Linked DNA regions of Coturnix japonica. The protein of the gene in region 1 purifies or fractionates together with the protein of each later gene. This does not show direct contact. Links are inferred from orthologs where the notes say so. Each region holds a gene or a part of one and is shown on either strand. Other genes may lie near its edges.

Evidence for each region. The genes of interacting proteins can lie anywhere in the genome.
Region 2: the proteins of STK40 (region 1) and TRIB1 purify together in Homo sapiens (affinity purification with mass spectrometry; 3 studies listed by BioGRID and IntAct, counting the BioPlex papers as one, with this or other methods). This does not show direct contact. The link is inferred for Coturnix japonica from reciprocal best matches to the Homo sapiens genes STK40 and TRIB1.

The regions. Positions count from the first base shown.
Region 1 is NC_029538.1:3,592,418-3,596,885, forward strand, and holds the start of STK40 (serine/threonine-protein kinase 40), read left to right. Parts: upstream 1-1,326; 5' UTR 1,327-1,421; intron 1,422-4,468. Other genes in the region: U7 snRNA-associated Sm-like protein LSm10, read left to right, coding at 207-578. UniProt on the Homo sapiens protein: May be a negative regulator of NF-kappa-B and p53-mediated gene transcription.
Region 2 is NC_029517.1:125,153,586-125,158,326, forward strand, and holds the start of TRIB1 (tribbles homolog 1), read left to right. Parts: upstream 1-1,610; 5' UTR 1,611-1,921; coding exon 1,922-2,278; intron 2,279-2,538; coding exon 2,539-2,831; intron 2,832-4,345; coding exon 4,346-4,741. UniProt on the Homo sapiens protein: Adapter protein involved in protein degradation by interacting with COP1 ubiquitin ligase. The COP1-binding motif is masked by autoinhibitory interactions with the protein kinase domain.

The DNA.
Region 1 (4,468 bases):
GGGTCTGAATGTGTGGGGTGGGAGTTGTGTGAGTGCATAAAGGGGGTGGGGGCACCCCTGTGTGCAAAGGGGGGGATGTGATGAGCACTGGGCGTGCAAGGGGAGGAGGCAGGCGATGGAGCTGCCATGCTGGTGTGTATATACACGAGTCCTGCAGGTGGAGGTGCTGGTGGTGCATCTCCCCATTCATATGCTGCAGCCCCACCATGGAGGTCAGCCACTCAGTCAAGGAGCGCACCATCGCCGAGAACAGCCTGGTGATCCTGCTGCAAGGTCTGCACGGCCACGTCACCACCGTGGATCTCCGCGACGAGAGCACGGCCACGGGACGAGTGTCCAACGTCGACGCCTTCATGAACATCCGCCTGGCCCAGGTGACGTTCACGGACAGACGAGGGGAGGTGTCGCAGCTGGACGAGATGTTCGTGGCGGGCAGGAACGTGCGCTACGTGCACATCCCGGATGGGGTGGACATCAGGGCCACCATCGAGCGGCAGCTGCAGGCCATCCACCGCGTGCGCTACTTCGGGGGCCGCGACAAGGGCAGGAGGGAGTTCCCTCGAGCCAAGCACAAATGAGCCCCATTCCTCAATCAACAGCCCAGCTTGGAAGCTCCATCCCTGTGTAATGGCAGCTACTCCTTTATCCCTGTCCTTATGTTTTTCCAGCTCTCAAACAAAGCCCTTTTGGCCTCAGTGCTTGGCTCTGCAGTGATCATTGCCTATAGGCTCTATAGGGCTGCCAGCTACTCCTCCATCCCTCTCTTTATGTATTTCCAGCTCTTAAAGCCCTTTTGGCCACACTGATCATTGCCTACAGGCTCTATAGGGCTGGCAGCTGCTCCTTTATCCCTCTCCTTATGGATTTCCAGCTCTTAAAGCCCTTTTGGCCTCAGTGCTCGTTGCCTATAGGCTCTATAGGGCTGTATCTATAGCTCCTGGGGCCTGGCTGCCTGCATGGGCCTGGTCTGAGGGTGGGCAGTGGGCAGTGCATGGGGTACTGCCATCATGGCGTCCATCTTAAGGCCTAGCACCACGCATGGGGGCGGTGGAGCAGTGCGCATGCGCGGGTGGGAGGGGGCGGGCCTTGAGGTGTTTCTCTTCCAATCAAAGCGCGGATAACATCCCGCCCGCCGACCAACCCGCTCACACAGCATGCACCAATCAACGGAGAGAGTTATCTCTCATCAGCCAATCAATCATCACCACTCAGCCAATTAGTGCTCGCCTCCCATCACTCTATCAACACCCCTCTCGCAGCCAATCACATCCGGGCGCTGCTTCAGCTATCCAATGAGCGCCGCCGTTCCTTCAGAAGGCGGGGCGATGACTTGGGGGCGGGGCCGGGTTGTGCGTCACTTCCGCTGTCAGGTGGCTGAGAGGAGGCCGCGCCGAGCGGCCGCTCCGGCCCCGGGGCCATGGGTGAGTGATGGGCCGGGATGGGCCGGGATGGGGCGGTGTGGGACACTATGAGAGGCCGGAGGGGGAGTAAACAACGGGTCACAGCCCTGGGTTCGGGTCTGTCCCCCTTTGGCTGCGTGTGGGGGTCTATTATCCAGCAGCAAAGCGGCCCTTAGTGCTGCCCGGCTTGTGGTGGGGCTGTGTAGGCCCAGTGTGAGGCCTATACAGCAGCATTAAAGCCCTTAGAGCTCGTTAATGCTTCGAGGAAGGGCTGCAATAATCCTCGGGGCATTAAGTGTTATCCCCTCCTGTATCCACACAGAGCTCTGTCCTATAGGCCCTTACTGAAGAGGAGGGTCACAAAGGTGATCAGGGGGCTGGAGCAGCTCCACTGTGAGGACAGGCTGAGGGAGCTGGGTTTGTTCAGCCTGGAGAAGAGAAGGTTGCAGGGTGACCTCATTGCAGCCTTTCAATACCTGAAGGGAACTTACTCCCAGGAGGGGAGTAAACTCTTGGAAAGGGCTGACAATAGCAGGACACGGGGAAATGGTTTGAAGTTAAAAGAGGGAAGATTTAGGTTGGATGTTAGGGGGAAGTTCTTCATTAGGAGAGTGGTGAGGCCCTGGAACAGGCTGCACAGGGAGGTTGTGGATGCCCCGTCCTTGGAGGTGTTCAAGGCCAGGTTGGACTTGGCCATGGGCAACCTGATCTATGGGGTCTCTATGGGGTCTCTGTGGGGATCTATGGGGTCTCCTGGGCAACCTGATCTAATAAATGTGTATGTTTGGTGGCCCTGCTAGGCAGGGGGGTTTGAACTACATGATCCTTGAGGTCCCTTCCAACCCGGGTCATTCTGTGATTCTGTGAAGGGTTCACAGCCCCTGCTGGGCTCAGCCTGTATTTAGAGCTCAATGCTGCTCTATGTCCCTGCACTGCTCTCATTGAGCCTCAAACTGTGCTGGTGTCTATTTCAATGCGAAATAACCCTGTTTGCTTACCAACGCGTGCTTCTTTCTTGTACCCGATACCATCTATCAACGTGCTTTCGTGCTGCAGACAATAGTAACGTTGGCGTGGCGGTAGGATTTACCCATATGGGTGACGTCTATGTTTCTCTCTATCTCATCCCGGGTTGATGAGTGGGGCATTGTGAGCAGCAGCCACACCTGGCTGTAAAAGTGTCAGCACGTGTGAGTCACACGCTGATGTGTGTGTATATGTGTGTATATATCTGTGTGTGAGGAAAGCCCTGCTGTGCTGTCGCTCTGCCCATAGCAACTGTAAACCAAAATAACCCCCTACAGCAACACGCCTCCCCCCCCTGCATCAGGATATGGGGCTGCACAGGGACGTGGCTGTGCTGCTGTGAAGCTGGAGCTGGTGTTTGTGTAACCCAGCAGGGAACTCCCAGCGATGAGTCCTTGGCGAGCCCTTGTGTTGATGCATCAGAAGGGTTTGGAGCAGCCCAGCCTGCTGCCAGCTCGTGGTCACGGCACTGGAATCTTGTGCTATGGAGCTCCCTGCTGGGGGCTGGGAAGGGATTTCCTCTCCTCCAGTGGGTTCTGCCCATGGAAGTGGTGTGTTCCCAGCACTGCCTGTGCTCGAGGCTCTGAGTGCTGTGAGCCCAGCTCTGTGCCTCCCTCCGAGCTCACTTGGTGCAAGGGGAAGGAGCTCACTGAGCTCCGTGTTTCCAAGAAATCAGTGACTCAGGGCTGCTGTGTGCTCTGTTGAAGGCAGCTCTTCCCAGAGAGGCTCGTGGGTTTGGTTGTACTGTCGCTTCTGAGTCATCCAGTGGACTTTTTCTTTGATTATTTGTGTTTCTGTTGCAGAACTGCTGAACTTCCTTAACTTTTGGTGTTCTTTCCGGCTCTCTACCAAACGTTGCAGTGTTGGGCTCCCAATAAACCCAAAGCTGTCCAGCAGACACCGCTGGGCTCTTATCTGCCACTGCCCCAGCACTGTCCTGTCTCCTCTCTGTCACCCCATTTCCTTCCTTGCAGAGACCAGCTCCTCGCTAGGACAGCACTGTGGCCTTTGGCATTCACCTCATAAGCCCAGACAAACCCTCTTTGTGCCCCTGTGATATAAAGCAGCAGAAAGCACCGCTGGGTTTGTGTCAGCTCTTCCAGTTCCTTCACTAGTTTCTGTGGTGCTGAGTAATCCTGCTCACACCCCAAAGGTGCTGTTTTTTCAGCTCCTGCTATTAATGCTATTATGAAGGCAGCTGGACTGCAGGACCTGCCCGTTCCTCACCCTGATGCACAGTGCAGCCTCCTCCACTTGCTTTCCTTTGTTGCTGTGCTGGGCACTGGGACGTTGCGTGGCAGTTCAGGAATTAGACAATTTCCTTAAGCTACCTAATTAAAAGACATTAGATCTGGGCCTCCACAGTTATTTGATTAACGGTTCTATTAAAGTCATGATGCAGTAGGAAGCTCTACAATTCTCCACTAAGGTTTGGATGCAGTGCTTGCACTATACCAGAACTCAGAGATGAATTCCTATGTTAGACTTGCAGCCTCATTGTCTGAACCCTATGGTGTCACAGATGGAGCGGGGGTGGCAGAGCTCAGTGTGAGCAGTTCCTGCACTGAAGGGGGTGGGGAACCACTGTGTGAGCATCCATGGACCTGCTGGGATACACTGTGTTGAGATGGATTGTACTGATGTTGAAATGGGGTTCCCTTTGCAGTGGGAAGAGCTGGGAAAGGGCACAGTGCTGCTCATCTCCGTGTTGGGATTGCTCCATCACAGCAGGATTGGTTCCTGTGCTGCCTGCTTGCTGTGTACCCATCACAAAGCACATCACCTTGCTGTGCTTTGAGCTGTGGGGCGATGGGCAGCTGGGTCCTGGTGTGCTGCTCCTTGACTTGAGGTGTCTCCACTCACAGCCTGCAGCAATCCCAAACCCAGACTTCTATGGAGCTGCTGTTTGTGTCTGAGCAGCACCAGCTTTGTGTTGGATGAGCTTGTGGCAGGGCAGCCCCTTGGAGTGAGAGCTTTGCATCAGTGCAGCTCAGAATAAGATGGATTTGTGGGCAGAAAGCAGCAGCTGGCTCTGCAGGAGG
Region 2 (4,741 bases), on another chromosome or scaffold:
TGGTTACACAATTCCCATTGCTGCTGGCTGCTCCAGTTACAGAGATAAAGGGTCAGAGAAGTGGAGCAGTGGAGACAGATAACTGCGCATCACAGGGCGAGCAGCTGAGCTCGCAGTGCGGGCACTGCCAAACCTAAGACAGATGCTGGAATGCCATGGGAGAAGAATTCCTTAAGTAACACGGGAATGGAACGGCAATGCCCAAAGTCCCCTTAGGGAACACTTAGGTAGTGACAGGACAAGGGCGAATGGCTTTAAATGAACATCACGGAACCACTGAGGTCAGAAATGACCACCAAGCCCCTTGTCCCGTGCTACAAAGATGGAGGCATACGTGGAATGAGGGAGCTGCAGTCAAATATGGAACCTGAAGATCTGATCATGTCTCTTTGCCAGAGTTTCCTAATCCCTCTTACCAGAAACATCCCTCGCTTCACAATCACACCTTATTCATGTCATCAAAATGGATGATATGGGAATATTAAATATTAAAATGTTTTATTATTTACAGATTAATAATATTGTGTATTTTAGGAGGGCTGCTCTGAAGGTCGTGCCTCCTATTTTATAACGGCCCACAGTGTCAGAGGTGGATGCTGGTGATGGGGCAGTAGTGGTTGAGCCTTCCCACCAGTATTCAGTTCTGTGTTGTTGCCATGGGACAGATGGCAGCAGAGGGGCTGAATGGAATCGGACATGGAAGTGCGTGTGAAGCAGAGGTGTGTCACTGAGCAACTCCATGCAGAAAAAACGGCACCCACTGATGTACAATGACACTCAATGAGCGTTTCTGCAGATGGGACTGATCACTGATGGGACTGATCACTAATGGGACGTCACTGATGGGACACATCACTGATGGGACTCATCACTGATGGGACGTCACTGATGGGACGCAGCCTTCCAGGAGAGGAAACACGGAGCAGAAGTGCTGATGGCTCCGTGCGTGCTTTGCCTATAAGGGGAACAAAATACAACAGCGCGTTCCGAGCTGCAGTGAATCGCTCCGAAAAAATCTGCAGGCGTTCTTCGAATTGTTTGGTAAAGGAAAAAAAATATATATATATATATATAAAGGCAAAGAAAGGAAAATGCAGCCCCTGGGATATCCCTTTATGGCAGATGCATTTTGTGTTTAAACGCATTAATGGCTCTGCTATGCCGTGACTCACACAGCAGCACGGTTTCACGCGTTTCTTAAAATACACGTTGAGCGCTGACGGCGGCGCCGGGCGCTGCCTGCGGGAGCGGCACGGGGAAACCTCAGCGCCGAGCGCCTGGGAACGGGCACCGATGTGAACTGAAGAGCCGGCCGTGCGCTAACACTGCGGCTCCCCGCTCCTTGTTCGCTTTGCTGCCCGTTTCTCTCTTGCTTTCCGGCTCCCCGCCCTACAGCTGCCCCTCGCCGGCTGCCGGGGACGCGGTTTCACGGGGGCTGATCGCCCCGAGGAGCCTCGTGGCGACGGAGCCGGGCTCCGCTTTTCGCTTTCGCTCGTGGGAGCAGCGCGGGGCCGCCGGAACTCCGCAACCGGGGTCGGGGTCGGGGTCGTCCCGGAGCGACGGGCGCGGCCGGGAGCATCGCACGGTGCAGCTCGGGGGCACGGCGGGGCGGGCGGACAGCGGGGCGGAGCGGAGCGGGGCCGGGCCGAGCTCCCTCCTCCCACTTCCCCGTGCGTCAGGGCCGGGAGGAGGAGGAGAAAACTGCTTTTTTTTTTTTTTAAAGCCTCCAACTACTTTAGCGCGGAGTCGGCAGCAGATGGTGGACACGGCCCGGGGCTGCGGCGGGGACAGCGAGGGGATGCGCCAGCCGCGCTCCGCCCGCCCTTAGCCCCCGGCCCCGCTTCTTCTTCTCCTTCACCTCGCCCTCCACCATCACCTCTTCCTCCTCTTCTTCCTCTCCCCGCTCCGCTCCGCGCCCCCCATGAGCCGCCCCGCTCCGCCGCCGCCCCGCCGCGCCGCCGCGCTCCTCCTGCCGGCAGCCCGCTGCCGCAGCGCCCCGGCCAAGCGGCTCCAGCCGCTGCACGACGGCCCCGCCGAGGAGGCTCCGGCCGCCAAGTGCCCGCGCCTGGCCGAGTGTCCCGGCGGAACCCCGGACTGCCTGAGCGCCCCCGGCTCGCCCTGCGCGCCCGTCTCGCCCGCAGCCGGCGGAGGAGCGGCGGGGAATGTGGGCACGGCGGGGCCCAGCCTCATCGCCTCGTACCTGCTGCTGCCGCTGGCCGAGCGCGAGCAGGTGTCCCGAGCGCTCAGCGTCAGCTCCGGCCGGGAGCTCCGCTGCAAGGTGAGCGCCGGGCGGTGCGGGCTCGGAGGGGGCTGAGAGGGGACGAAAGGCTTCGGGGCGGTTCGTGCTTTCCGTCGGTTTGGCTTGTGCTCCCCGTCGTCCGTGCGGAACGAACGGCGGAGCCGCGGGGAGGCTCCCGGTGCCGCTCCCGAGCGCGCTGGCGCTCCTCCATTCCCGGCATTGTTTGCAAAGAGTCTCTAGACGCGATTCCGCTCCCAACGCCCTCGAGAACGAACGTTGTGCTCGTTTCCTTTGTGCAGGTGTTCCCTCTCAAACACTACCAGGACAAGATCCGGCCCTACGTCCAGCTGCCCTCGCACTGCAACATCACCGGCGTGGTGGAGGTGATCCTCGGGGACACCAAGGCCTACGTGTTCTTTGAGAAGGACTTTGGGGACATGCACTCCTACGTGCGGAGCTGTAAGAGGCTGAGGGAGGAGGAGGCCGCCCGGCTCTTCCGACAGATCGTGGCGGCCGTCGCTCACTGCCACCAGTCGGCCATCGTGCTCGGAGACCTCAAGCTCAGGAAGTTTGTCTTCTCCAACGAGGAGAGGTGAGCGGCTGTCACCGGGCAGGTGGGGGGAAGCCTGGTTCAGAAGGGCAAAGAGCATCCCAGGAACAGGGTGGACCTGTGCCCCGTGTGTGCAGTGGGGCGCCTGCTGGCTGTGGTTGGGTCTTGGCTGAGGAGCTCTCCATCAGCCTCCCCTCTTCCAGCAGAAGTTCAGTGAGGCAGTCACAGGGAGTCAGTTGGGTCTTGGTGATGATGGATGAGTTTTGGGGTCAAATGGATGAAGGGATGGGATGTGGAGGGAATGAGGGCAGCACGGTGCTGCTCAGCATCTCCGCGTTGGTGGCAGTGCTTCTGCTGCTCCATGGATATGGGCATGCACGGCACAGAGGGCGGTCCATGGTTAAATGTCCTGCAGAGGGGAAAACTGGTAGAACTTAACCTAAAGCCTGAGTTATGGCAAGGTGGTTCCAGCTTCCCCCATCTGCTGGCACGCTGCTGGGATCAGCTTCTAAATCTAGACCGAGGCGAAGCATTCAGTGTCTCCCTGGAGAGCTGGCTGCTCTGTGCACTGCGCTGCACGTGGCAGGGCTGGGAGTGCGGTGTCAGCCCCGGGAACTGACCCTGAGTGGCTGCTGTGCTGTAGGAAGCTCAAAACATGGGCACAGGCTGCAATGGGGTCGTGCTTAATGCGACGAAACGGAAGGAACCGCTGTGTTTGGTTTTCTTTTTTAACTGCTTCTGTGGGATATCGTTTGTGAAGGTGATAAGACGACGAACCAGAACTGCACCTCTTAAACAGAAACAGCCGTATGTTGACATGCAAAGAAAGTAATTCCTTTGAAGGAAACTATTGCAGCTTTTCCCGCCCCTAGTGAGATGAAACATTTGTTGAAATGTTACATTGCACACAGCCCGGCTCGTTTGGAAATTGGCGTTGCACAGGCGAGTGTCATGTGCATTGCGTTTGGCAAGAAGAGGGTTAAGCAATGGCAGGCGGGCGCTGGGGCTCACCAGCACAGGTGCAGTTTCAGTGCTCCCGCGGCCAATCCTGGGCCCACGGTTCGCATTGAGTCACATTTTCCGTTTACAGAACCGATGGGTATTTTGCATTGCAGCGGGAGGTCACGCCGAGGACAGGCTGCAGTTAGCACATCCCTGTGGCACGTGAGCCGTGGCTGCTGGTGGGAAGCTCCCGGTTTGCCACTACCGGGAGCAGGGCACCACCTGGAAAGGCAAAAGGGAGAAAATAGGGATTGAGCAAGCTGGTGAGCGCCGAGAGTGCAGAACAGCCAGGCTTTGTGTTGTGAAAATGAATGCTGGGATGGCAGCAGGAGCCTCGCTGGCGTTCCTCGAGAGCCCAGCATTTGCTGTCGGCCCAGCAAATGAGCGTGCATGTAGCTGCACTTGGGGCTGGGATCAGCATCCCTGGTGCAGATTAGGAAGTTGTCGCCTCTCCTTTGCTAATGCATGGAAGGGAGCGGTGGTCGCTGTGCAGAGCAGTTGGTCTTGCTGCCACATGTCTCTAACCCATGGCTTCTCCTTGTTGCTCCCCACAGGACGCAGCTGAGGCTGGAGAGCCTGGAGGACACGCACATCATCAAGGGCGAGGACGACGCGCTGTCGGATAAACACGGCTGTCCTGCCTACGTCAGCCCCGAGATCCTCAACACAACGGGGACGTACTCGGGGAAGTCAGCCGACGTGTGGAGTTTGGGAGTGATGCTGTACACGCTGCTCGTGGGCCGCTATCCCTTCCATGACTCGGACCCTAGCACCCTGTTTTCCAAAATCCGCCGCGGACAGTTCTGTATTCCTGACCACGTCTCCCCCAAAGCCCGATGCCTCATCCGCAGCCTCCTGCGGCGGGAGCCCTCCGAGAGACTTACAGCCCCGGAGATCCTGCTCCATCCCTGGTTCGAGGCGGTCCTGGAGCCAGGATATACAGACCAGGA